Linked DNA regions of Macaca mulatta. The protein of the gene in region 2 interacts with the protein of the main gene of each other region in a biochemical or structural test. Links are inferred from orthologs where the notes say so. Each region holds a gene or a part of one and is shown on either strand. Other genes may lie near its edges. The genes, in order: ABL1, ERBB3, NRG2, TXK, SHC3, GRB7 and RASA1.

Evidence for each region.
Region 1: the proteins of ERBB3 (region 2) and ABL1 form a complex in vitro, tested with the Homo sapiens proteins (2 studies listed by BioGRID and IntAct, with this or other methods). The link is inferred for Macaca mulatta from reciprocal best matches to the Homo sapiens genes ERBB3 and ABL1.
Region 3: the proteins of ERBB3 (region 2) and NRG2 form a complex in vitro, tested with the Homo sapiens proteins (2 studies listed by BioGRID). The link is inferred for Macaca mulatta from reciprocal best matches to the Homo sapiens genes ERBB3 and NRG2.
Region 4: the proteins of ERBB3 (region 2) and TXK form a complex in vitro, tested with the Homo sapiens proteins (2 studies listed by BioGRID and IntAct, with this or other methods). The link is inferred for Macaca mulatta from reciprocal best matches to the Homo sapiens genes ERBB3 and TXK.
Region 5: the proteins of ERBB3 (region 2) and SHC3 form a complex in vitro, tested with the Homo sapiens proteins (2 studies listed by BioGRID and IntAct, with this or other methods). The link is inferred for Macaca mulatta from reciprocal best matches to the Homo sapiens genes ERBB3 and SHC3.
Region 6: the proteins of ERBB3 (region 2) and GRB7 form a complex in vitro, tested with the Homo sapiens proteins (2 studies listed by BioGRID and IntAct, with this or other methods). The link is inferred for Macaca mulatta from reciprocal best matches to the Homo sapiens genes ERBB3 and GRB7.
Region 7: the proteins of ERBB3 (region 2) and RASA1 form a complex in vitro, tested with the Homo sapiens proteins (2 studies listed by BioGRID and IntAct, with this or other methods). The link is inferred for Macaca mulatta from reciprocal best matches to the Homo sapiens genes ERBB3 and RASA1.

The regions. Positions count from the first base shown.
Region 1 is NC_133420.1:16,870,050-16,874,175, reverse strand, and holds the start of ABL1 (tyrosine-protein kinase ABL1), read left to right. Parts: upstream 1-1,326; 5' UTR 1,327-2,108; coding exon of another isoform or gene 2,109-2,207; 5' UTR 2,208-2,814; coding exon 2,815-2,950; exon of another isoform or gene 2,951-4,126. Other genes in the region: uncharacterized protein LOC144335005, read left to right, coding at 2,109-2,207. UniProt on the Homo sapiens protein: Non-receptor tyrosine-protein kinase that plays a role in many key processes linked to cell growth and survival such as cytoskeleton remodeling in response to extracellular stimuli, cell motility and adhesion, receptor endocytosis, autophagy, DNA damage response and apoptosis.
Region 2 is NC_133416.1:63,238,372-63,241,871, forward strand, and holds part of ERBB3 (receptor tyrosine-protein kinase erbB-3), read left to right. Parts: intron 1-978; coding exon 979-1,044; intron 1,045-1,196; coding exon 1,197-1,315; intron 1,316-1,422; coding exon 1,423-1,564; intron 1,565-1,944; coding exon 1,945-2,058; intron 2,059-2,149; coding exon 2,150-2,270; intron 2,271-3,500. UniProt on the Homo sapiens protein: Tyrosine-protein kinase that plays an essential role as cell surface receptor for neuregulins.
Region 3 is NC_133411.1:148,740,656-148,744,155, forward strand, and holds part of NRG2 (pro-neuregulin-2, membrane-bound isoform), read right to left. Parts: intron 2,701-3,500; coding exon 2,529-2,700; intron 1-2,528. UniProt on the Homo sapiens protein: Direct ligand for ERBB3 and ERBB4 tyrosine kinase receptors. Concomitantly recruits ERBB1 and ERBB2 coreceptors, resulting in ligand-stimulated tyrosine phosphorylation and activation of the ERBB receptors.
Region 4 is NC_133410.1:47,627,543-47,631,719, forward strand, and holds the start of TXK (tyrosine-protein kinase TXK), read right to left. Parts: upstream 2,801-4,177; 5' UTR 2,689-2,800; coding exon 2,673-2,688; intron 1-2,672. UniProt on the Homo sapiens protein: Non-receptor tyrosine kinase that plays a redundant role with ITK in regulation of the adaptive immune response. Regulates the development, function and differentiation of conventional T-cells and nonconventional NKT-cells.
Region 5 is NC_133420.1:119,720,977-119,724,476, reverse strand, and holds part of SHC3 (SHC-transforming protein 3), read left to right. Parts: intron 1-2,655; coding exon 2,656-2,806; intron 2,807-3,500. UniProt on the Homo sapiens protein: Signaling adapter that couples activated growth factor receptors to signaling pathway in neurons. Involved in the signal transduction pathways of neurotrophin-activated Trk receptors in cortical neurons.
Region 6 is NC_133421.1:64,095,106-64,098,605, forward strand, and holds part of GRB7 (growth factor receptor-bound protein 7), read left to right. Parts: intron 1-809; exon of another isoform or gene 810-1,343; intron 1,344-1,526; exon of another isoform or gene 1,527-1,580; 5' UTR 1,581-1,585; coding exon 1,586-1,740; intron 1,741-1,849; coding exon 1,850-2,000; intron 2,001-2,180; coding exon 2,181-2,337; intron 2,338-2,462; coding exon 2,463-2,584; intron 2,585-2,674; coding exon 2,675-2,752; intron 2,753-3,326; coding exon 3,327-3,464; intron 3,465-3,500. UniProt on the Homo sapiens protein: Adapter protein that interacts with the cytoplasmic domain of numerous receptor kinases and modulates down-stream signaling. Promotes activation of down-stream protein kinases, including STAT3, AKT1, MAPK1 and/or MAPK3. Promotes activation of HRAS.
Region 7 is NC_133411.1:93,646,054-93,650,155, forward strand, and holds the start of RASA1 (ras GTPase-activating protein 1), read left to right. Parts: upstream 1-1,302; 5' UTR 1,303-1,869; coding exon 1,870-2,387; exon of another isoform or gene 2,388-2,444; coding exon of another isoform or gene 2,445-2,449; intron 2,450-4,102. UniProt on the Homo sapiens protein: Inhibitory regulator of the Ras-cyclic AMP pathway. Stimulates the GTPase of normal but not oncogenic Ras p21; this stimulation may be further increased in the presence of NCK1.

The DNA.
Region 1 (4,126 bases), on a different chromosome or scaffold from region 2:
TGGTGCGTGCCTGTAATCCCATCTACTTGGGAGGCTGAGGCAGGATAATCGCTTGAACCCGGGAGGTGAAAGTTGCAGTGAGCTGAAATCCTGCTACTGCACCCCAGCCTGGGTGACAAGAGCAAAACTCCATCTGAAAAAAAAAAAAAAAAAAAAAAAAGAAAGAAATGGGATTCCTGTCAGATGCATCCCTCTGGGGAGACATGGAGAGCCAATAGGAACCAAGGTGCTTTTTAGTCGCAGAACATGGATTCTATCAGGTGTGGGTTTGGCACATCTAGGTCATTGGTTCTGTAGACTTGCTAAACCCAACCATCTGGGCATTTTCTCAGCTAATATAGAGGATGTTTTCATGTGAATACGTGTTCACCTGTGAAATGTTTATAGTCTTAAAGATTCGTTCCAGGGCAAACATCTGATAGCGCCTGGCAAACCCAACAAATGGCTTTTCTGTAATGAGTAAGCCTCCTAATGCCCAAATAAATAGTTGAATTCGTTAGCAACATGTCGGATGTTTTCCCTATTTCTGTATGTTTCTTCGCTAGTTGTTTTTTTTTGTTGTTGTTGTTGTTGTTTTTTGAGACGGAGTTTTGCTCTTGTTGCCCAGGCTAGAGTGCAATGGTGTGATCTCAGCTCACCGCAACCTCTGCCTCCTGGGTTCAAGCGATTCTCCTGCCTCAACGTCCTGAGGCTGGTATTACAGGCATGCACCACCACGCCCGGCTCATTTTGTATTTTCAGTAGAGAAGGGGTTTCTCCATGTTGGTCAGGCTGGTCTCGAACTCCCGACCTCAGGTGATCCGCTCGCCTCGACCTCCCAAAGTGCTGGGATTACAGGCGTGGGCCACCGCGCCCCGTCCGCTAGTTCTAATATTTATGCTTTTTGGAGGGTGAAGGGGTTGAGAGGCACCAAAAACCTTGGCTTCTAGGAGCAAGCCACATTTTCTCCCTTAGAGACTGAAGGAAATCATCCGATTCCGGTTCCAGGAAAATCCAATCCGCAGTTTTTCCCTCGCTTTGTCCCGGTCTTACTACTCGCGCCGGGGAGACGCGGTCCAGCCGACGCTCGGCCGGCGAGAGTCCACCAGGTCCCAGGAGGGCGGGGCGAGGCCCAGCGGTCGGGGTCCGGGCCAGGAGTCTCGGTGCGGGAGGACTCGCGCGGGTGCCGTGGGACCACAACTCCCGGGACGCACCGCGTACTGCGCCGAACACGGTTGGCTGGGAGATCCAGCCCTACTGCCCCCATTGGCCAATGGGACGGGGGAAAGAGGCCCGACCCGGATTCTCGGAGGCCAATGACAATACAGAGGAGGCGGGTGCTTCCTTATCACTCACCTTGCGCTCAAAGAAGCCACATTTAAAAGGTCGTGCCGGGCCCGGCTTTCGCAGGCAGTGGGACCAGAGCCGGGACGCGCGGCGGTGTCCCGGGAAAGCGGCCCTGAGGGCATCCGGGTCCCCTTGAGGCGGGCTCCGGACGTCGTCGTGGGCGGGGCGGAAGGCGGGGCCTGGCCTCGTTGTGGAGCGGCTCGTAATCCATCATGGCGGCCGCGGGGGTCGGTGTCTGTGCCTGAGCAGCGCTGGAGCCGGAGCCGGTTCCCGGGTGCTGCGACTGAGGAGCCCTTCCGCTGTCCACGGCCCCTACCGGCGGGGGGCGGCTGGGTTCCTCGGCGGAGCTCTGGGGATGTGATTGCCTGAGGGCGGTGGTGGTGTCAGCGTCCGGGGCCGGGGGAGAGGGTGTCTCAGGCAGAGACCCCCGGGCTTGGGGCAGCTGAGGCGGCCGGGCCTCCTCTACACGGCGTCCGCCTTTCGCTGTCTGGGCCGCGAGAGTCCTTCGTCCCTTACAGCTCCACCCCGGCTTTGGGACACTGGGGGTCTGTTACCCTCAGCTTGGGACACCCCGTTTTCCGAGGCGTGGAAGAGCGTCGCCCTGGAGTAAGCCGCCCGTGCCGCGCCCCGGCAGCCTCCCTCAGCCCCGAGCCGCCCCTTGTTCCGGATCCCGGCCCCAACTTTGGCCACAGAGCCTCTCATTCAAATCCCTCCCTGCTGTCAAGGGGTCTCCCCTTCCCCAAGGTGGCTCCCGCGAGCCTCTAATGCCCTGACTTCTTCCAATGTCACCTACGGCCCCCTTAGTCTCAGGTCAGCCAAAAACTTTAATGCAAAGGAAAAGTCTGGATTGGTTCCACAGGCCTTTTAAAAAGCGGACTTAAAAGTTGCTGGCAATGCATTCCTTTTCGTCAGAGTCGAGGGCAAACTCGCTGAAATCTGGGTGACCCGTGTCCTTTTCCGGAGAGCAGAGCAGAGAAGCGAGAGCGGCCACTAGTTCGGCAGGAAATTTGTTGGAAGATGAAGAAGCTAAGATAGGAGGTTGGTGACTTCCACAGGAAAAGTTCTGGAGGAGTAGCCAAAGACGATCAGCGTTTCCTTTATATGTGGGAATTGAAATGACTAGCATTATTGACCCTTTTCAGCATCCCCTGTGAATATTTCTGCTTAGGTTTTTCTTTTTGAAAAGAAATTGTTATTCAGCCCGTTAAAAAAAAAAAAAAGTCAAGAAACTTTTGGGTAACACTGCAATTACATTACTTAAAATTGATAAACTGCGAAAATAATTGGAACTCCTGCTTGCAAGTGTCAACCTAAAAAAAGTGCTTCCTTTTGTTATGGAAGAGGTCTTTCTCTGATTGACTTCAATTGCTGACTTGTGGAGATGCAGCGAATGTGAAATCCTGCGTATATGCCATTTGCCTCTACGCTCTCTGACCGTTCTGGAAGATCGTGAACCCTCTTCTGGAAAGGGGTACCCATTATTACTTTATGGGGCAGCAGCCTGGAAAAGTTCTTGGGGACCAAAGAAGGCCAAGCTTGCCTGCCCTGCATTTTATCAAAGGAGCAGGGAAGAAGGAATCATCGAGGCATGGGGGTCCACACTGCAATGTTTTTGTGGAACATGGTGAGTGCTTTTAAAATTTCTGCTCATTATTTTCCTCATGCGTTCATCTTAGGCCTTCAAGGAACTTTGAATAATAGTACTTGCGACAGTTCCTTCCAATTCCACTTAATACATTTGTTACTTTAGTTATCTCTCAAGTTTCTGGTGAAACTTACTTTGTATAAGAAAAAGTTACTTCGTGAGTTCGGCTTTATTCAGAATCTATTTGAGTTGCTTATTTCTTGCCTGCTTCCTCTGCGAATTCACTGTTGACCTTGGACAAGCCATTTTACTGTTCCAGGGCTTCAGTTTCCTGAGGGGCTGGACTTCAGTTGTTTCTTAGGATGCATGGTTCTATGATTCTGCTCTCACCGAAGTCAAGGGCTCTTCTGACATGCATGGATTCTTTACTGCTTTGTCTACAGAGAGCTTTTATCATATTCTCAAAGTGGTTTGTTTTTCTGGTAAAGTTAAGAATCATAGATACTGGTTGATGCTAATATCCTTGACCTTTTCCATCATAAGTGGGACTTGAAAATACTCACTTTGGAGCCATGTGGGAAAAATCAAGTGGGGAGGCAGCATTCCTTATTAATTTTAGATACACAGCTTCTGTCTTACCTTCCATAGGAGTAATAATCCCTTCCTCGTTGATGAAGCTTTCATCCTCTCTTCTCCCTGTTTAGAGTGACATTTGGGCCAATAAAAGTTGTCTTTGACATTTTTATGAACATATTTGGCATTTGAGTGCTGACAGCACATTTTATGTTGTTCATGTCCAGTAATTCTGTGTGAAGTTAAAGCTAAGGGTCGGCTTACACTAATGTCTATAACCAATTAATTAGGGTTACTGTTTGTACTGTTGCAGCCTGCCATTTTTCAGATTGTGTCCTTTATATTAAAAAATCAATTGAGCCCACCTATCCTATAAGCAAACGTATCAAGTGTGCCAGTGGCTTATAGTTTGAAATTCATTCAGAAATACTTCTTAACATTGGGTGACTGCAATCAACAAAGGCTTCTGTTGGATGAACTTGCATTTGACGGTTGAAGTTTTACTTTCTTACAAGAAAATACTCACTTCATCTAAATAAATCTGGGTGCTTGGATTTTACTTTGCCTTGAAACATTAATTCTATTTTAGCTTTGTTTTTAGGCAAGCCAATATGGTCATGTGTTATGATGGCTCCCAAATTT
Region 2 (3,500 bases):
GTCAGGAGCTCAAGACCATCCTGACTAACACGGTGAAACCCCGTCTCTACTAAAAATACAAAAAAAAAAAAAAAAAAAAAAAAAAAACACTAGCTGGGCGTGGTAGTGGGCACCTGTAGTCCCGGCTACTCAGGAGGCTGAGGCAGGAGAATGGTGTGAACCCGGGAGGCGGAGCTTGCAGTGAGCTGAGATCATGCCACTGTACTCCAGCCTGGGCCACAGAGCGAGACTCTGTCTCAAAAAAAAAGAAGAAAAGGAGCAGACCGAGCATGGTGGCTCATGCCTATAATCCCAGCACTTTGGGAGGCCAAGGTGGGAGGATCACTTGAGCCCAGGAGTCCAAGACCAGCCTGGGTAACATAGCAAAAAATCTACAAAACATTTAAAAATCAGACAGGCGTAGTGGTTCACAACTGTAATCCCAGCTACTCAGGAGGCTGAAGCAGAGGATTGCTTGAGCCCAGGAGGCTGCAGTTGCAGTGAGCTGTGATTGTGCCTTTGTACTCTAGCCTGGGCAACAGACTGAGACCCTGTCTCAAAAAAAAACAAAAAAAATTCCCTGGGTACTAAGCAGGGAAGCCAGATCTTTAGGCTCCACATCTGTTACTCGTTCCACTAGAATATACTCCCTTCTCCTCAGAGCCCACCTTCCCCTGACCATTCACATGCATATATTCCTGCATATATTCAGTTTGCCCAGGAGGAACCAAGTTCCTGGGTTGGGACTGGGACTAAGATTGGCATTTGCCCCAGTCCCTCCCCTTCAGCTGCCCACTGGGTAGTGTGGAGGCGTGGCCCCACCCCTTGTTGACAGGTTCACTTGAGCCCAGCCCTGCTCTCCAAGGGCAGGGAGGGACACAGCCTTGGCTTTTTGCTTCCCGGGATTGAGGTGCCTGTGTAGTGACATCATACCCTGTTGATTCAAACAAGCCTTTCTTAGCCCTGATGGCCCCTTGTGTTGCCTTCCTTCCCAACCAGGTCCCCTCTGTCATGAGGTTTGCAAGGGGCGATGCTGGGGTCCTGGACCAGAAGACTGCCAAACATGTGGGTTTGAACTTTCCTCCAAAAACTTTACTCATACACTTTCATATCCCTTCCTCCCCAAGCCTGGGTCAATACTGCGGGGGAGGCATGAGCAGTGGCCTCAGGATTCAGTCCTAGGAGCCCTAACAGCCATGCTTTCTCTCCTTCCATAGTGACCAAGACCATCTGTGCTCCTCAGTGTAATGGTCACTGCTTTGGGCCCAACCCCAACCAGTGCTGCCATGATGAGTGTGCCGGGGGCTGCTCAGGCCCTCAGGACACAGACTGCTTTGTATGTATTCTTTCCATTGCCTGGGTTCTGAAATTGGGTTGTGGCCTTTGAGGAGGAGGTAGGGGTACACACATAACATAAATCTGATGGGCCTCCTTTTTTCCCAGGCCTGCCGGCACTTCAATGACAGTGGAGCCTGTGTACCTCGCTGTCCACAGCCTCTTGTCTACAACAAGCTAACTTTCCAGCTGGAACCCAATCCCCACACCAAGTATCAGTATGGAGGAGTTTGTGTAGCCAGCTGTCCCCGTAAGTGTTTGAGGGGAAGGAACAATGATCAACAATAGTAGTTCCAAGATTTTAGACAAAATTGTGGGAGGCAAAAAGAATCCAGTTGGTGATAAATAGGGAGATTGGTGAATGGTTATGATCATCTAACCACTCCAATGAGTGACCCCTATGTCCTGTCCTCCCATGACTTCAGCTATCACCCTTACTTCTGCTCCTTGTAGCAACAAATAGTGAAGAGACTTTCGAATCTACAGGGCAGCACTTAAGGGACCTAGGGTGGCAGATGGGGACAGATCCAGTGCAGAGCCGGAGGGAGCCCAGGCCCACAGCAAGGGTTCCATTGGTAGCTGGTAGTGTTCCTCCCTCATCTCTAATGGTGTTGTCCTCCTCTTCCCTAGATAACTTTGTGGTGGATCAAACATCCTGTGTTAGGGCCTGTCCTCCTGACAAGATGGAAGTAGATAAAAATGGACTCAAGATGTGTGAGCCTTGTGGGGGACTATGTCCCAAAGGTGGGTAGGAGATGGTAAGAAGTTGTAAAGAGACAGCCTTTCCTCTGAGCCTGCTCAGACCACCCCCACTGAATCTCTCTTACATTTACAGCCTGTGAGGGCACAGGCTCTGGGAGCCGCTTCCAGACTGTGGACTCAAGCAACATCGATGGATTTGTGAACTGCACCAAGATCTTGGGCAACCTGGACTTTCTGATCACCGGCCTCAATGGGTTAGAGATCCTGCCTTCCCTCCTTAGACCCCAGCCCATGCACCCCTCACAGTTCATTTCACTGGCCTAAACTTTCCTATGTGGAGCTGACTAGGAATCAAAGTCACAAAATTCTAGCCTGTTATAAAGGACCTGAAAGAATGCTTAACACATCCTCCATCCAGGCCTTGGGTCCCCTCAGGAACATCTTTGAGCAATTGAATATCGCCCTGTCAAGGAACAAGGGACAGGAACAGCATATCCTCTTTCTGAAAGTTTTCTTTTTTATTGTCTTTTCTTTTTTGAGATAGAGTCTCGCTCTGTCACCTAGGCTGGAGCGCAGTGGCGTGATCTTGACTCACTGCAGCCTCGACCTCCTGGGCTCAAGTGATCCTGCCACCTCAGCCTCCTAAGTAGCTGGGACTAGAGGCACACACCATCATACTCGACTTATTTTTTTGTATTTTTTGTAGAGACAGGGTCTTGCTATGTTGCCCAGGCTGATCTCAAACTCCTGTGCTCAACCGATCCTCCCATCTTGGCCTCCCAAAGTGCTGGGGATCATAGCACCCAACCTCCTTCTTAAAGTTTTCTAAAAGTTCTTCTTTAAATTTGGATAAAAATCTGTCTTCAGGCTGGGCACGGTGACTGTAATCCCAGCACTTTGGGAGGCTGAGGTGGGCGGATTACGAGGTCAGGAGATCGAGACCATCCTGGCCAACATGGTGAAATGCCATCTCTACTAAAAATACAAAAATTAGCTGGGTGTAGTGGCGCATGTGCCTGTAATCCCAGCTACTCGGGAGACTGAGGCACAAGAATCACTTGAACCCAGGAGGTGGAAATTGCAGTGAGCCGAGATTACACCACTGCACTCCAGACTGGCAACAGAGCGAGACTCCGTCTCAAAAAAAAAAAAAATTTCTGTCTCCCTGTGACTTTTAGATGTTTTCACTCATTCTGCTCCTTGGAGCAGCAGAACAAAGGGACTTTCTAGTCTGTAGGACAGCACTTAAAATATATGTGTGTGTGTCTGTGTGTGTATGTGTGTGTGTGTCAGAAAAAGAGAGGGAAAAAAACACTATAACCACCTGTTTTTTTTTCCTTTAATTTTTTATTTTGACATAATTTTAGATCTACACTGAAGTTGCAAGAATGGTGTAAAATTCCCCATATACTTTTTTTTTTTTTTTAATTGAGACAGAGTCTCAACTCTGTCGCCCAGGCTGGAGTGCAGTGGTGCCATCTCGG
Region 3 (3,500 bases), on a different chromosome or scaffold from region 2:
GGGGTCTCAGATTCTTAAAGCAACAGGAGAAGGTGAAATCACCCACAGTTGGAAAGGGAAGAAAGAAAATAGTGATGCCCGGCCAGGCGTGGTGGCTCAAGCCTGTAATCCCAGCACTTTGGGAGGCCGAGACGGGGGGATCACGAGGTCAGGAGATCGAGACCATCCTGGCTAACATGGTGAAACCCCATCTCTACTAAAAAATACAAAAAACTAGCCGGGCGAGGTGGCGGGCACCTGTAGTCCCAGCTACTCAGGAGGCTGAGGCAGGAGAATGGTGTAAACCCGGGAGGCGGAGCTTGCAGTGAGCTGAGATCTGGCCACTGCACTCCAGCCTGGGCAACAGAGCAAGACTCTGTCTCAAAAAAAAAAAAAAGAAAAGAAAAGAGTGAGGTCCAAAGTTCAGGAAAGTTCCAGCATTGATGGCAACTAAGAAACAGTGTCCAGACTCACAGCAGGACCAGGAGGAGCATCACAGGGCCTGGGGAGCAGGTGTTCCTATGCTGAGGCCATTGAGAGGCCTGGAGGCCTGAGCCAGGGAGTGCAGAGATAACTGGGGTTTCTCCAGGGCCACAGCCATCGAGAGGTTGGGATGTAAGTGAAAGGCAGATTCCAGCAGGGCAAAGAGTGAGTGGAGGATGAGAGTGTGCAGTCAGTGGGCATGAGGCTAGCTCCCTCAGTGACTTCATATGGTGGTGGAGGGCGGAAGTGAGATGGGGCAACTGCTGGAGGGCCAGGGGAGCAGCAGCGTGGAGGGACAGCATTTGAGAAAAAAAGTCACGGGTAGGGAGAGAAAGTTGAAGTTACCAGAGAAATGAGTGAGTTGGTGGTACCAGGGCTCTGCGGGTGTGTGTGTGTGTGTGTGTGTGTGTGTGTGTGTGTGTGTGTGTGTGTGTGTGTGTGTGTGTGTGTGTGGAGTGTGGGAATGTGCGGGAGGGAGGGTGAGTATGAGTGTGTGGCACCAGGTAGGGTGGAATGATGATAGGCAGGTTGTAGACATGTTTGGGAGTCATGAGGAGGGAATGGGGGCTCTCTTGACTTTTGTCACTGCAGTGAAGTAGGGGAGAAGCCATCTTCTAGAAAGAAAGGATAGGAAGGAGACAGGACCCAACTGCCCCAGCTCCAAGAAGCCTGCCCATTCTCTTCAGCTTGGAGCCAGCCTTGGAAGTGCAGTGAGAAGGGGCAGGGTGGTCTCAGAGGGTGGGCTGGGTGGGCAGCCAGAGCTTCTTGACAATGCTGTAGACTAGGGACACATAGAACCCCCCACTCACCACTGGCCATGGTGAGTTCCTTAGGAAGCGGCATTCTTTTAGCCACAAACCTTTGATCTAAGCCAAACCCTTCCTTAATTACATTCTGTTTTCTGCCAGGATCATTTTCTAGAATGATCAGTTCTACTTCTGCTCCCCATTCTTGGAAGGAGAATCAGAGAACTGGAAGTAACTCTCAGTCCCCTGACTCCTTCATCCTCTTTTATAGGTTCCAGAGTCTGAGGGCCAGAGGCAGGGCGTGGACATCCAGCCCCACACGGCAAACCCAAGCAGCCGGCCCAGCCCAGGCCCTCTACCACTTTTTGTTGTGGGCAGGCTGGTGTGCTCTAAAACCATCCTAATTTGCATTTTGTGTGTGTGGTGGGGTGGTGAGGAGGAAAATGACAGCCAGGAAGGGAGTGGTTGTAAGCTGCCTGGGAGAGAGGGCAGAAAAGGTTTGGGAGCTCCTGAGTCAGAGAGGGAAGGCCACTAGGTCCCCAGAGCCAACAGAGCAGACATCAAGTAGAACGCCTGTTTAGCTGGCAGGCACGGGTTTTCCCCCTTGCTTCTCCTTGAGAGGCAGGAGAGAGGTGGTGGGCTGCCTTGGACTACCGGCTTCTCTGGTGCCAGAAGCCCCCTGCCTGACCCACCCAAGATGAAAGACAGGCCATCTTCCATAGCCTGGAGACTCAGGCAACTTCTCTGATTCACTTCCTTGGAGCACGGATTCAAGATCAAACACAATTCTCATGTTTTAGAGGGAAACCCTCTGAGGAACAGAGTTCTCCAGCACCAATCAAAGTGCTGCCCCTTTCCCCTACCTAGCTCTCTGACAAGTGACAGCTTGCAAGCTGAGAAACCAGCCCATCATGTGTGACCTCCCAGAGGCATTCTGGAGTCAGGGTCTTTCACCAAAGATTACCAATGATGGGGCTTTCAGACGCTGCAGCAGGTCTTTCAAGAAGTTTTAGGGGTGAGCAGGGTCTTCCACTGATCAAGCTGACTGTGACAGTCAAATTGCCTTCAACTATCCAGAGAAGTTAAAGGCTTAATTCTTGTCTGTGGTCTGCAAGACCCTGGGCCACCATGACCAGAGGGTCCCTGAGCTGCAGGAAGAAGGCTGGGAGTGGCAAGGAAGGGGAGTAAAGAGAGGGGCTGGGACTGGTTCCATGGGCGAATCTGGGGGCACAGCCCTGGCCTCTGTCCAGTTCAGGCCCCTCCTTCTCGAGAGGAGGGAAGGCAGCCGGTTGGACGGAGGACAGGCTGGATATTGCTTACCTGCCGTTGCCATATTTGATGCGAATGTCTCGGCTGCGGTTGAGCTCCTTGCCGTCCTTGAACCAACGGTAGGAAGGTTGGGGATTACCGGCTGCTGCCTCACACTTCAGCGATTGCTTCTCACCCACCTGTCCCGTCTGGCTCTTCATCTTCTTCAACTTGGGCCGGGTGGCTGTGGGGTACAAGGCAGGTAGGTGAGCATGGTGGTGGCAGGGGCAATGCCAAGCATGAGTAGTGGACAGTAAGGGCCACTGTTTTTGGGCTGGAACTGGGGAAGGGAGGGATGATCCTGAGAGCCACCCCTCCTGGTGTCATTCCCTAGTTCGATTCAATAAGCATTTACAGTGAGTCTGTCATGACATCAATGTAGTTATAACTAATGGAGAGTTTCCTTCATGCCTTGAATGGTGTGAAGCTTGACATTAGCTTATGAAACCTTCATAATAACCCCATGAGTTCACAGCAATGGTTAAACCCACTTACAGATGGGGAAACGGAGGCTCAGAATGGTGAAGTCACTTCCCTAAGGGCAGATGATGGAACTGGGATTCAAACCCAGATCTCCTTGACATTGGTGCTCAAGATCTAAAATCATGGGTAACAAGCCATGGGGCTGTACTGGTGGGCTCAGGCCCAAGCACGGATGCAAAACTGCAAATGCCAGGCTGAGAGGCTGTCCCCATTTTTCTTAAATGCCATTCTATCTCCACATGCCCCAGTCTCCCATGTTTCACTTCCTTGCTCCTCTCCCCACCACCAAAAAAACAAAACAAAACACACACACACACACACACACACCACAAAAGAGAAAGTACCCTGTTCTTAGGAAGGTGAGGCCAAGCCAGTGCTCATGCTGAGGTGTGTAACAATTTCCAGTGGGATAGTCCCTTAAAGGATACACAAAGCCTTCATGCAGGTTCTCGTTTGGTCCCTGAGCTCTGTAAGGCAGTGTCATACTGACACTGATGGTGC
Region 4 (4,177 bases), on a different chromosome or scaffold from region 2:
GGACCTTTTTTTTTTATTAACAGTAATACATCTTGAGGCATCACTTAGCTGTCTCCTTGTCAACAGTAAACACTCATTGTTTTACCCAGCAGAAAATGTAGCCACATTCAGCTGCAATTGACAGTAGACAACAGGTGATTCTTATCATCAAATCAAATTAACAGACGCTGGAAAGGAGAGTGAGCTTTCATCAAAGCCATGCCAGAGAGAATAATCCTCAAAATACCCCGCCAATAGGTAGTCCCTTATTTAATCCCTTGGGCAATCAAATCCTTGTCTCAACCTTCACAATGATTTATTTTATATATAACCGAATCGTTCCTGCTGTAATTTACAGCATTTTCTTTAGTTCTGACCTTGACGGAAATAAAGAGCAGATGCTCACACAGCTTTTAACATTTAAAGATTCTTAAGTCACTGTTGAGCTTGTCTTGCCAGTGGGGGTGGCAGGGGACACAGGTTGCTGCTTTTTCACTTTTTCTGCTTTGCTCTGCTTGGCCTATATTTCTGTTAACAGGAGCCTTGTTCTTATCTGCGTGAATGGAAGACTACGAGTTATTTTCAGGTCAGCACAACTGGAATAACGTGGTCTATTTATTTATTTATTTTTTTACAAAATCTACAAACAATTGTTGGCTCCTGTAAGGGGATTTGGCTTAAATAGATGACATTTAAAAATTACAATCATTTTTTCCTTAATGCCACCTAAAAGTCAGAAATGTAAAAACTTGACTTTTTTTAGCTGGCCTTTGATTGCTTTAATCTGATATGACTGAGCTTTGTTGAAGCTTGGTTCCATCATCATCTAGTATTAAAATCAAAGACAGTATTTTCCTTCCTTATCTGCAAAATAACGCCCTCTGAGTCTTAGAGATAAATTAACAAGTATTTCCAAAACTGAGCAACTCCCAAAATAAAGTTCTTAAAGCACCTCTTAGGTTTATTGTTTCTTTACATTTTGTTGCAAGGTGGCCAAAAAGGGAGTCGCCTGGGCAAAAGTTCTAGTTCTGGATTTTGTCCAGCATTTGTGGATCACGGTTGGCAGATTTATATGTATACAAATATACACATACACATACACACACTCCCTTTGAGAGCTTATTTATATATACAAACTTATATATGTGTGTACATATGTGTGTGTGTATATATATTTTTATATATATATATATATTTAAGGCAAAAGGAAGAGCGCTTAAATCCCAAGTCCGGCAAGTCTCATGCTTGGCCAGGTGTGGTGGCTCACACCTGTAATCCCAGCACTTTGGGAGGCTGAGGTAAATCATTTGAGGTCAGGAGTTCGAGACCAGCCTGGCCAACATGGTGAAACCCTGTCTCTACTAAAAATAGAAAAATTAGCCAGGCATGGTGGCGTGCACCTGTAGTCCCAGCTACTCGGGAGGCTGAGGCAGGAGAACTGCTTGAACCCAGGAGGTGGAACTTACAGTGAGCTGAGATCACGCCATTGCACTCCAGCCTGGGTGACAGAGCAAGACTCTGTCTCAGAAAAAAAAAAGTCTCATGCTTAAATCCTGAGTGTGACAACCATGTGAGCTTTTGGTGAGATTTAAACTTTCAAAGGCACTATTTTCTTATTGGCTACATAAGAATAACAATTTTCACCTTGCCAGTTTGTAGTGAAGCTTTCAGATAATGAATATAAAGGAACTGGTATAGACCATGGCCCATGGTAGGTGCTCAATAAATACCTTTATAAAGAAACAAAGATATTGCAATTCTGATATGATGGCTGCCTTCTTATTTAGAAGACTATTCTGCTTGTTTTTCTTTTTATTCTAATTTCTTTGGATTTATAAGCATCCCCACGGCTCTTTCAAACCAAGGATCTTCACAGATAACAGCATCTAGGGAATCTTTCTCTGTTCTCCTAAAACTAGCACTTATTTTTAACGGTGGTCTTATATTCTATAAAAATATTAAAATAACATCTTCATATGTAATATTATATATGAGGGAAAGAGACATTTAAGCCAGTGTTCACACTCGACCATGTTCACACTCTTAACCATGTGGAGACTCATGACTTTGACTCTTATTTTTGCCTTTACTCAGGCTCTGACTGCAGGTAAGAATCAGTTTTGCCTAAATTTCAATTGCCTGGGAAAGGTCCTCAATAACGGATGTCTACACAAAATTGTGAATAAATACTCCTGTGAAAATAAGGGTAAGTCTATATGTTTACATGATAAACACAGTTGTGTTTTAACCTCTCTTCCTTTTGCCTTAAATATATTTATTTGTGTCTGTGTGTGTATTTATATATATATAAAGTTGCCAACTGTGATCCACCACTGCTGGAGCAAATCCAGAACTAGAATTTGGTCTCCTGGCCTTCAGTCCAAAGTTCATTACAGTCTCATTCTAAAAACAAGTACTTCACACTGATTGCATTTCTACACACACATATGTAGATTCCTGGACATTCTTTTGTTTTTCTTTCATTTATGTTCTCAATGCTGAACCTTTATTAGAATTACATCACCACCGTGGTTCTTTAAATAAGAAACAAAACTCTGTCACAACATCTGAGGAAATTACCTTTTAATGTTCCCAAGCTCTGTGCCTTAGAAAGAAAAACATCCTCTGCTGTTCAAGAAGAATAGGTCCAGAACAAGCCCCGAAAATAAATTGAGAAAGCTCATCTTACTCACAGGAGGAAAGGATCATGGCAGCCCCTTCTGCAGGGAGCACACAACAGTCTTCAGTTCTTCTGCAGTGCTCCACTCACAAAAACACATCTTTCAACTGAAATCATAGTTCACTCAAGATGTTTCTCACGGGCAGAGTTAACCCCACCTATTTTCCTGTTCTGAAAACCTCAGAAGAGTATAAATGACAACCAATGGCCTATATAAGAAAGCTCAGTAATCTCCATCCCAATCTCTGAGGGTGTCTGCTATTAGTCTCTCATCCCCAAAGGTGTGGGTGACTCGCAAACATCATTTTCAAGAAATCACAAAATTTTGGTAAAAGGCACCTTTAAAATCATCAAGTCAAACTGCCCTCTCTGGACTGGGAAGGAAATGGAGGCACAGACAGAATAAGGGACTTCCCCAAGGCCACACTCTGAGTGGCAGAAACAATTAGATTCTAGGCTCTGGAATATTGAGTTTAGAATGTTCCATCCTCCCACTCAGCAGACACTTTATTTGGGCGAAGTCAATCTAGTAATAACCCTAAAATGTGATTGGGGGATGACTGAGAAATATAAAAACACCAACAATACAAAACACACTTGGGAGTTTCACTTCATCCCACTGGAAAGCATAACTATGTGTTAACTAATTAACAGAACAACTTTTTTTTTTTTTACATAAATTAACCCATTTATTATAGGCCAGTGATGTCTCAAAGAGTAGAGGAGCATCTACTGGTCTTTCAACTCCTTCAGTCTTCTGATGGCGGACTTTATCGTGACAGCGGAAGTGGTATTGTATGTCCAGGCACTGCCAGCCACTGTCTTCATGCAGGAACCACAGTGCCAGATCCCCACAGCTCGTCTCTTCATCTTGGTTTTGCCACAGAAAGAGCAAGTGTACTTGGTGTGCTGGCTGATTTCAATTTTCTTCACCATTTTCCGGCGGGAGGCCCCATAGCGGGTCCCGTATTTACTGATGATCCAACTTTCTTAGTACATTTGGCCATCTCGCCACGAACCAGGTCCGAGCCCAGAGAGCAACAGAACAACTTTAATGAAGACACAGCATATTCCCATTGCCCTTCCAATCTCCTGTTTAGATTAGGGTCTCCTTAGCATTCTGGGTGATGACTGTTATTTTTACTTCCCCTTCTGCCTTAGTTATGCTTTCGTATAAAACCTTTTTTTTTTAAGTCTTAGTGAAAAATATTTAAAGTTTTTTGAAGGAAATGTTCACAAATGTTGCCAGGTACTATCTATCTTGTTTTCCCATAAAAAGCATACATTGACCATTAGGGTAGGGACTCTTATCTTCTCCTCACTCTCTTTCATACCACCTAGTACTTCCCATAGCTCCTCAAGGTGAAAAAGGAAGTATGGGATGGCAGGAGGGAAGGAGGGAAGGTCAGGAAGGAAGGAGAAAAGGCTGATAGTGATAGTAAGGTAGAGTGTGCCAGGACCGACTCCTTGAATAAGCTACAAGTCAGTTAAAAGTTGTGCATGGTTAGCAACCAAAAT
Region 5 (3,500 bases), on a different chromosome or scaffold from region 2:
GGAGTGTGGCAGTGTGAGGCCGACCAAGCTGTGCGTTCTGCGTCGGGGAGTCAGGCTTCTCCGGTCCTTCTCTCGCTGCAGGTGAGTGTATAGATTTACTATTTGTGAATTTTTGTTGTTGTTGTTCATTATGTTATTACTGGGGAAGAGACTCTGATCTGGATATCTGGATTCATTGCACATCTTCAACTGGAAATAAAAAATAGTACTTTTTTTTTTTTTTGAAACAGAATTTCTCTCTTGTTGCCCAGGCTAGAGTGGCGTGGTGCGATCTCAACTCACTGCAACCTCTGCCTCCTGGGTTCAAGCGATTCTCCTGCCTCCCGAGTAGCTGGGATTACAGGCGTGCACCACCATGGCCAGCTAATTTTGTATTTTTAGTAGAGACAGGGTTTCTCCATGTTGGTCAGGCTGGTCTCAAACTCCTGACCTCAGGTGATCCGCCCATCTCAGCCTCATAAAAGTGTTAGGATTACAGGCTTGAGCCACCGCACCCAGAAAAAATAGTACTTTTGTATAAATGGATTTTTGGCCAGGTATGGATTGCAGGATTATGCCTGTAATCCCAGTACTTTGGGAGGCTGAGGCGGGTGGATCGTTTGATCCCAGGACTGTGAGACCAGCCCGGGCAACATGGCAAAACCCCATCTCTACTAAAAATACAAAAATTAGCCAGGTGCAAGGGTGCGTGCCTGTAGTTCCAGCTACTCAGGAGGCTGAAGCAGGAGGATGGCTTGCCTGGGAGGCAGAAGTTGCAGTGAGCCGTGATCACACCACTGCACTCCAACCTGGGTGACAGAGCGAGACCCTGTCTCAAAAAAATCAATCACTCAATCCATCAGTGGATTTTTTGGTATGGTCTGATTTTTCTTGGAGGATTTTCCTTGCAGAAATCCAAGGGTATTTCAACCCAAAACCGAAGAAGACTTTGAAAAACAAATCAGATGCCACTAAGACTCCATTTATTATTATTTTTAAAATTGATAATTCATATATAATCAAATCGCCCTTTTAAAGTTTACAATTCAGTTGATTTGTTATATTCAAAAGTTGTACAGTTATCACCATTAATTCCAGAACATTTTCATTACCCCCCCAAAGAAACTCTATACTCATCAGCAATTACTCCCCATTCTCCACTCCCTCCTCTCCTGCCAACCACTAAACTACTTTCTGTCTCTATGGATTTGCCCATTCTGGACATTTCATATAAATGGAATCATACTGTATGTATCTGGCTTCTTTCACTTAGAAGAATATTTTCAAGATTCACTCATGTAAGATCTGTCAGTATTTCTTTCATTTTAGAGTTCTTAGTAATATTTGAATGTATAGATATATCACCTTTTGTTCATCCAGTCATTAGTTTGTGGACAGTTGGGTGCTTCTACCTTTTTTTTTTTTTTGAGATGGAGTCTTGCTCTGTCACCCAGGCTGGCGTGCAGTGGCGCGATCTCGGCTCACTGCAACCTCCGCCTCCCAGGTTCAAGCAATTCTCCTGTCTCAGCCTCCCGAGTGGCTGGGATTACAGACACGTGCTACCACGCCCGGCTAATTTTTGTATCTTTAGTAGAGATGGGGTTTCACCACGTTGGCCAGGTTGGTCTTGAACTCCTGACCTCATGATCTGCCAGCCTTGGCCTCTCAAAATGCTGGGATTACAGGTGTGAGCCACTGCGCCCAGCCCTACCTTTTAGCTCTTATGAACATTGCTGCTGTGAAGATGTATACAAGTTTCTTTGTGGACATATGTTGCAATATTCTTATGTATATAACTGGGAGTGAAATTCTGTGGTCATATGGTTATGCTGAAACTGCAAAGCTATTTTCCAAAGTGGCTGCACCATTTTACAGTCTCATCAGCAATGTGTGAGGGTTCTAATATCCCCATGTTCTTATCAATACTTTTTCTTGTCTATCTCTTTGATTATAGCTACCCTAGTGGGGATGAATTGGTCTCTGGTTGTGGTTTTGATGTGCATTTTCCTGATGACTAACGATGTCGAGCTTCTTTTCTTGTGCTTATTGGCCTTTTGTGTATCTCTGGAGAAAAGTCTGCTCAAAACCTTAGCTCCCTTTTAAGATCGGGCTGTCTTTTCATTGTTGAGTTGTAGGAGTACTTTATATATTCTAGATACATGTCTCTTTTAAGATACATGTTAGCAAATATTTTCTCCCATTTTGCGGTTTGTATTTTTACTTTCTTGACATTGTCCTTTGAAGCACAACAGTTTTTTCAAATAGCAGAAGGGAGAATTTTGAGAGGTTCATATTCTACCATTTTCCCTCTTATCACTAAATTTCCATTTTGTAGTTGGTTTTGTTTGGGATCAATTTCATGGCTTACAAAAATGTGTGCTGTCCCTTGAGGAGCTGGCTATCCTTAGGCATAATTTCTTTCTTAATTAAAATGTCCTTTTACAAAAGGACCTCATTCAAACATGACTGAAATGTTCCAGTGAGTGAAACTCTGAATATGGCAGAGATCTTTTGCTAAACCACTCGTCTGCTTTTCATCTATGCGTGAGACCTGGATGGCTGAAGAGGCACTGACTAAACTCTCTTTTCTTGATAACAGGCGCTAACATTAGATTCGTTGGTTTTGGCTGCAAGCTCAACTTTTGGCTAAAGCCCTTGGAAATCTTCCTTTAACAGAATGCAGAGTCTGGATGAGCCATGGACAGAAGAGGAGGGAGAAGGCTCAGACCACCCGTACTACAACAGCATCCCAAGCAAGATGCCTCCTCCAGGGGGCTTTCTTGATGCTCGACTGAAACCCAGACCCCATGCTCCTGACACTGCACAGGTAAGTCTTATATTTTTTTCTCTGTATAAGGAATGGAGGCTAACTCAACTTTATTTCCTTTTGTTTTGTTTTTTTGTTTGTTTGTTTTATTTCAGGCTGATGTTCTATTCCATTTTTGACACGGTAAATCATGAACTTTCTCTCACTGGATTTCATGAGGCATGCAGATGAGGAGAGGCTTTGTGTGTGTTAACATCATAAAGCATTAGCCAAACGCTTTGGAACTGTGTTGTGATTCCTGGGATATGAGTCTGGGGGTGTCCTCTGTACCCTCAGATGTATTCCATCATACTGTGATCTCAGTGAGGGAAAGAGAGAATTTAAGATTTTAAAAAGGCTTGGGAGGCATTGGGTTCTCTGAAAAGGAGTGAATATAGACCCTTAAAAGGATGAGAATTTTATGAGTTTTCTATTTTATTCATTCCCTTGCTTTATGTCCAACTCAAAATTCTAGTAAGGCAATTGCTTTCTAGAGTTATGATATTTCTATTTTGTTATAGGAAATTTTTAACATTACTACCTTTTGTGAATGATAATGGCACCACTAAAAATGGCAAAATAACATCAAGCTCAGGGATCTGACACTGAGAGGGAATTTCCTGATTTTTTGAAGGAAGTTTCCTGGTTTACAGAGTGGACTTGCCCAAGTGTGAACAATCATGGGCGTATGTGTTATGTGGGAAGTGTGTTCTGA
Region 6 (3,500 bases), on a different chromosome or scaffold from region 2:
GGCAGGGCTGTTTTTGTTTCTCCTAAGCCAGGAAGTTGTGTGGATGAGTCAAGGTTGAATGGAGAGCCCTAGGCAGTGTTGTCCCGCCTGCCCTGACTCACCTGTCCCCCAAATCCCCTGATGCCCTCACTGAGGGGTCAGGTGCCTGCGCCCTCCTGAGGGGTCAATCCCAGGTGCCCCAGGTGGCCTCATAGTACTGGCCCAGTGTTCGGAGAACAGGCTAGGGGCTGGGATTGCAGGTTCTCCCAGGTCTCAGTCCAGCCAAAGGGGTCTGCCTGGTTCCTGAGGAGGAGGGGCCAGCCCCACCTCCACCTCTAGTGCTCGCCTTTGCCGGCCCTCCTGTCTTTACTTGTCCTGAGTGTCTGTGCAGCCCCTGTAAGTGATAAGACATGGGTGAGATTGGCCTTGCCTGGGGGTACCGGGTGCCCTTGGACAAATGAGTGGATAGGACAGGTGCGCAGTAATGGATGATGTAGCCCCTGCACAGTGCTGAGAGGGAGTCGTTCACTCAGAATGTGGAAAGCCAGGAAGGCTTCTCAGAGGAAGTGGCTCTAGCATTGGAGCCTCAGGAAAGAGTTGGGCAGGAGGATGGCCTGGGGAGGGTACGCAAGGTTTAGGGGCTGCTGTGGCCAGGACACCTACCCCAGGTCTGCTCTCCCCCTTGCACTGAAGCGGAGCCGGCTCTCCTGACTTTCGGGCTCCCATCCTTCCCCACCTCCTTCTCCCCCCTGCATCACTCATCACTTGGGCAGGCCAAATTTCACCAAGTACGAACAGGCTCTGGCAACTGGGTCTGGCAACACAGTGCTGGAAAAACCCGGGCAGTGCCTGGAGCAGTGAGTGCCCCACGCGTGGAGGCAAAGGAGTGGACCTTTGCCCTGACCCTGAGGGCTGAGCCTGAGAGTGTGTGGGTTGTGAAATCTGTTGTGACCACCAGGCTTGTGGTGGGTGGACCCTCAGCTCTTCCTGTGAGCAACTTTGTGCTAAAGAAAGAGCACTGGAGCTGGGCGCAGTGGCTCACGCCTGTAATCCCAGCACTTTGGGAGGCCAAGGCGGACGGATCAGGAGTTCGAGACCAGCCTGGCCAACGTGGTGAAACCCTATCTCTACTAAAAATACAAAAATTAGCTGGGCATGGTGGCATGCACCTATAATCCCAGTTACTCGGGAGGTTAAGGCAAGAGAATCGCTTGAACCCAGGAGGCAGAGGTTGCAGTGAAAAAAAAAAAAACAAAAAAACCAGAAAGAGCACTGGACTTGGAGTCTAAACACCAGGTTCTACTCCTGACTCACCTGTGACTCAGGGCACCAGGTTCTACTCCCCGACTCACCTGTGACTGAGGGTAAGAATGCTTCCTTCTCAGAGACTCAGTGTCCCCTTTTATAAAATGAGGCTCATTCTGTCTTTCCCCAAGGGCTTCAGGGAAACTCCAGTTAGAGCAGTGAGGTGCTAGGTAAACTCTGAGGGGCACCCTAACCACCGTGTGAGGTCAGGAGGTCTGATTTCTCTAGTCCCCTCTCCCCAGGACAAGGGCATACAACTGACACAACTGGTTCCATTCTGCCCCTCTCTCCCTCAGATGCCATGGAGCTGGATCTGTCTCCACCTCATCTTGGCAGCTCTCCGGAAGACCTTTGCCCAGCCCCCGGGACCCCTCCTGGGACTCCCCGGCCCCCTGATACCTCTCTGCCTGAGGAGGTAAAGAGGTCCCAGCCTCTCCTCATCCCAACCACCGGCAGGTACGATGGGATGTGGGGCTTGGGGGAGGTCAGTGCTGGATAATACACAGAGGCTTGCAGGCCACTGCTCCTTTCCCCACACCTCTCTCCCTTTTTCTTCTTGCCACAGGAAACTTCGAGAGGAGGAGCGGCGTGCCACCTCCCTCCCCTCCATCCCCAACCCCTTCCCTGAGCTCTGCAGTCCTCCCTCACAGAGCCCCATTCTTGGGGGCCCCTCTAGTGCAAGAGGGCTGCTCCCCCGCGATGCCAGCCGCCCCCATGTGAGTTGTCCCTCAGAAGGGAAGGGAGGGATGCAGGGTTCTGGATCTGTGGGAGATACACAGCCATTTCCATGGAGGCGGGGGATCTTGGTTAGGAGTCCCTGAGGGTCTAGCAGGTGCGGAAAGGGAAGGAATCACCCTTTGCCTCCCCTCAAGTCATCTGCAATTCCTGGGGCACAGGTAGTAAAGGTGTACAGTGAGGACGGGGCCTGCAGGTCTGTGGAGGTGGCGGCAGGTGCCACAGCTCGCCATGTGTGTGAAATGCTGGTGCAGCGAGCTCACGCTTTGAGCGACGAGACCTGGGGGCTGGTGGAGTGCCACCCCCACCTAGCACTGGGTAAGTCGGGTGCATGGAACTACCCAGGCTGGGAGGTGATGTCTCGCATCTTGGGCTAGGCATGTGACTCATCTGGGAGATCTGGTTGATCTCCAATAACCCCTGCTTTTTGCCCTTGACCCCAGAGCGGGGTTTGGAGGACCACGAGTCCGTGGTGGAAGTGCAGGCTGCCTGGCCCGTGGGCGGAGATAGCCGCTTCGTCTTCCGGAAAAACTTCGCCAAGTACGAACTGTTCAAGAGCTCCCCAGTGAGTGTGTGAGGGCTGTCTGGGCGCTGGGATGCCCTGAGCCTGAACCGGACACTGGAGCCCTGACCCCTGACACTTTTCTACCCTCAGCACTCCCTGTTCCCAGAAAAAATGGTCTCCAGCTGTCTCGATGCACACACTGGTATATCCCATGAAGACCTCATCCAGGTGGGGAGACCCCCCCCCATTTCACGACTCCCCAGAACTGACCAGTGCTTCTCCGCCCTTAGGTCCTGTGCCTCCCCTCTATGTGGTAGAAAGAGCCAAACCACAGTCCTGTGTGACTGGGGACAACTCACTTTCCCTACCTGAGCATCAGTTTCTTCTGTTAAATGGGGGCGAGAAATGCATGTGGAGCATTTCCTTGTAAAAACCTGAGGGTGGGCTGGGTGTGGTGGCTCATGCCTGTAATCCCAGCACTTTGGGAGGTTGAGGCAGGAGGATTACTTGAGCCCAGAAGTTTGAGACCACCCTGGGCAACATAGTGAGACCTTGTCTCTCCAAAAAAAAAAAAAAAAAAAAAAAGGAAAAGGCCAGGAATGGTGGCATGAGCCTGGTCTCAGGTGCTTGGGAGGCTGAGGTGGGAGGATCACTTGAGCTCGGGAGGTCAAGGTTGCAGTGAGCTGTGATCGTGCCACTGCACTAGCATAAGACCCCATCTCAAAAAGAAAAAGAAGACATCTGGTGGTAGAGGGGAAGGGAGGAGGCCAGACCTCCCACTCTCTTCTCTTCTCTGGCTCAGAACTTCCTGAATGCTGGCAGCTTCCCTGAGATCCAGGGCTTTCTGCAGCTGCGGGGTTCAGGACGGAAGCTTTGGAAACGCTTTTTCTGCTTCTTGCGCCGATCTGGCCTCTATTACTCCACCAAGGGCACCTCTAAGGTGAGGTCTTGAGAGTGCCAGCTCCAGCCTCTGCAG
Region 7 (4,102 bases), on a different chromosome or scaffold from region 2:
ATCAAGTTGGATCGTTGTCATCGACTAGGTAAATAGGCCTACGCAAATTTACAAAGAAAATGCATTGCCTGTATCTTGCCACCTCTTTCAGTGGTCTTTTCTCTTGTTCCTTGGTTTCTATCACAACCACTTGCCATCCGGAGTGTTGGCTTGATCATCCTTAGCAGAGAAAATACTGATCTCAAAGATCAATATCCAATGGTATTCAACGTGGGATTACTACTGGGAGAATTTAAAATAACAATACCGTTAATTTCAAACCATGGGAAGCTCCCTGTACATGAATGCATGTAATAGTTTGTATACATTTTAGTGTAGAAGACAAAATAACACTCTTCTCCTTAATTGTATTAAAAATGAGTTTTCAGTTTATTGCTACTTTAGAAACGATATATAATTGTAACTGGCATTCTGAGACATTCTTGACATTTGACTTGTTGAAGGTGCTTGCATTGCGGATCACACCCTGCAGTCTTTTGCACACAGAGGACAAAAGTGCATTGATTAGTGTTTTCTGTGGCACCCCCTCCTCTTCATCAGTATACAACAGACTTATAATAGCATAGGTAAGTATATGAGACAGTTGATAAAGAAAAACCTATGCAAATACTAGTAGAAATCTTACTTCATAACCACTATTTCTACCAAAATTCCCCACCCTTCTCATATGGTGCCCTTTATTTCGTTTCGGAGTTTCAGAATCTATTCTATCTGTGTGTGTGTGAGATAGTCATGGTGATTTATAGCATGCAACGAAAAAGACAACATTTAGTACTGCCCCGATCTTCAAAGCTACCTGACTCCTGCATGGTCTCTGCGCTGCTGGCTAAGGCTGTTTCTTCCACCGGTCAGGAAGTACGGAACTAGTTTCTAGGCATTTTCCTTTCCCTTTCCCCCTTCTTCCTCTCCGCCGCCTCCCGGTCCCCCTCTCGTCTCTCCGGCTTTCACAGCGCCGAGCACCCGCGTGCTCAGGTACCCTTCCCTCTTCTCCCGCCCATCAAACAAAGCCCCGGGAGACAGGCGCGCGCCGCCGGCCACGCCAACAGGAGATGCGGCCGCGCCGCCGCACGCTAGGAACCGGAGTAGGACAGCAAGCGCGACCACGCACCGCGCGTCCCCGCCGCTTCCTTCCCTCTGGACTCTTCCTTTTCCTCCAGGCCCGGCCCCCCGCCCCCCGCCCCCCGCTCCCCGCTCCCCGTTCCGGGAACGCGCCTGCGCACAAGCTGCCCTCTCCCTCCTCCGCCCTTCCTTCCCTCCGTCCCTCCTCCCCTGCCCCGCCTTCCTTTCTCTCTCTACGGTTTCAGTCACTGAGAGCTCCAGGTAGTGAGCAGTTCAGTCGATTTCCTTGTTACCCCGCCCCCCTTTCTCTTGTCCCCACCCCTCTCATCTGCCTGGTGGAGGATGAAGCGGCTGCAGTGGCCCCAGCCTCAGCAGCGGCACCGGCGGTGGCTGCGGTGTGGGTGGCCGGAACTGGGGTGGTGAAGAAGCGGTGGTGGCTGCTGAAGGAGCGATAGCCACCTAAGCCTCTTTCCCTGTGCTTCCTTTCCTCTTTAGTGCAGCCAGGAAGTTTTCGCTTCTGTACATGTGTTTGTGTGCGTGAGTGTGGGTGTGTGCCGTGAGGTTTGGGTGGCGTTTGTGCAGGCGTTGGGTTTTTTGCCCACTTCGCTTCCCGTAACCCAAGCAGCTCCGGAGCCTGGGCTGTGGCCCTAGGAGGGGGCGCGGCGGCGGGCTCTCTCCTTTTGTTGTTGTTTCCTCCGCCTGGGGAGCTGAAGGGGAGACGCGTCTGGGTGGGGCGGCTCGGAGCCCGGGCCTGGTGGCCCCCGGGGCTCCCGGGCGGGCAGGGTAGGGCAGAGTAGAGCGGGCTTCAACATGATGGCGGCCGAGGCCGGCAGTGAGGAGGGCGGCCCGGTAACAGCCGGAGCTGGAGGAGGCGGCGCGGCAGCGGGCTCCAGTGCCTATCCCGCAGTGTGTCGGGTGAAGATACCCGCGGCCCTGCCTGTGGCAGCCGCCCCCTATCCTGGGCTGGTGGAGACTGGAGTGGCTGGAACTCTGGGTGGCGGAGCCGCTTTGGGGTCAGGGTTCCTAGGAGCCGGGTCTATGACAGGGGCATTGGGGGGAGCCGGACTGACAGGGGGAGGTACTGCTGCTGGCGTGGCCGGTGCTGCTGTCGCTGGACCTAGTGGAGACATGGCTCTCACCAAGCTGCCCACTTCGTTGCCTGCTGAGACTCTTGGGCCAGGCGGCGGTTTTCCCCCTCTGCCCCCTCCCCCTTACCTGCCCCCTTTGGGGGCGGGCCTGGGGACAGTGGACGAAGGTGACTCTCTGGATGGACCAGAATACGAGGAGGAAGAGGTGGCCATACCATTGACCGCTCCTCCAACTAACCAGTAAGTTAAGACTGCTGTTCAGGAATTTGGGCAGCTGGCTCCAGAAAAGAAGTGGAAATGGGGTAAACCATACTTTGTCTTTTTCATCTGTGATTTGTTTAGGAAAAGTTTTTGAAGTTTCAGGTTTCTTTGATCACTTATCTTCCTTACAGGCATACTACCTGGCGTCTTCCTACATTTATTGCTCTTCTGGGAAGGTGTAAAGTTTTTAAGATGGAAAGTATGAGAAAATGTGTATCTGATGAGAACCGGATATGGTTCTGTCCCTTCCAAGTTGAAGTGGTGTCCCAGGATTTAGTCAAACTGCGGCTACCAAGGCAGTCATAGTGTATATTAACCTGTGTGTGTTACTTGATAAAGCTAGATGATTAGTGAGAAATTTTGAATACAAATATTTAAACGAGTATTGTATTAATAATTTGAAAAATGTATTGGTTAGAATGTATTTATTTCAGTGCACATCCCAGCTTCTGATTAGAGAAAGCATAGTGATGTTTAGAAGAGTCTGTGGGTCACTTAATGAGAACTTGGGTCAGAGAGAAAGGAAAGGAATACTGTGAATTATAGGTGTGATTAAGCGCCTTTATTTCAACAATGTATCTTCTTCCCTAGGCTTCCCACTTAGCTTTTATAGTCGAGACATTGGAAGTACAACAGTGAGACAAAACAAAATTAACAGAGCTTCCCTTAAACATTTTTTGTTGGTGGCCAGTATAGTATTCTATTTGAAAATTAAGTAGAATATACAGGACAATGACTTTTTTTTTTAATGTAAGTTAATACCTCCTCACTTGTCTTAATTGAACTTAGGTGTTTATTCATAAAGGTGGACCTTGATGAAAATGTTGCGATGGGAAGTGGTATTAGGCAAAACTTGTTATAGGTTTCTCGTATAACTCTTAATTGACCCTTAGAATTTTAACAACCTTGGTGAATATCAGGAAAGAAAGATTTGGTTCATATGTTGACAGTCATTCTGGACAATTCAGAGGTTTTTTTTTTTCCTCTCTCCATTGCCCCCAAGAGATGGAGTCTAGCTCTGTTGCCCAGGCTGCAGTGTAGTGGCATGGTCTTGGCTCACTGCAACCTCTGCCTCCCGGGTTCAAGAGATTCTCCTGCCTCAGCCTCCCTAGTAGCTGGGATTACAGGTGCATGCCACCATGCCTGGCTAATTTTTGTATTTTTCATAGAGACGAAGTTTCGCCATATGGCCAAACTGGTATGTTAACTCCTGACCTCAGGTGGTCGGCTGGCCTCAGCCTCCCGAACTGCCGGGATTACAGGTGTGAGCCACTGTGCCCGGCCTTTTTTTTTTTGGATAAGCTTCTTTGGAGCATTTAGAAAGGACTGAAACTAGGAAAAGATTCTGTTACCCTCATCTATTTTTGACTTAAGGCTGCATCTTTTGATACTTAAAGTGGAAAAGTAAAGTTAGTCATATTTATGCCAGCCATGTTATAGGGATGTAGTGTTCCACCTTTTATATTCCTCAATAAAGGGTTCAAGTCTTGCGTCAGAGTTTTGTTCAAATTTTACACGACAATTTATTTCATGTCATTGTAATGCAGAGTCCCTGGGAGTGTTCAGGGAGTGTTAAAAATTCCAATTTTGCCGGTCGCGGTGGCTCACGCCTGTAATCCCAGCACTTCGGGAGGCCTAGGCAGGTGGATCACCCGAAGTCGGGAGTTTGAGACCAGCCTGACCAAGATGGAGAA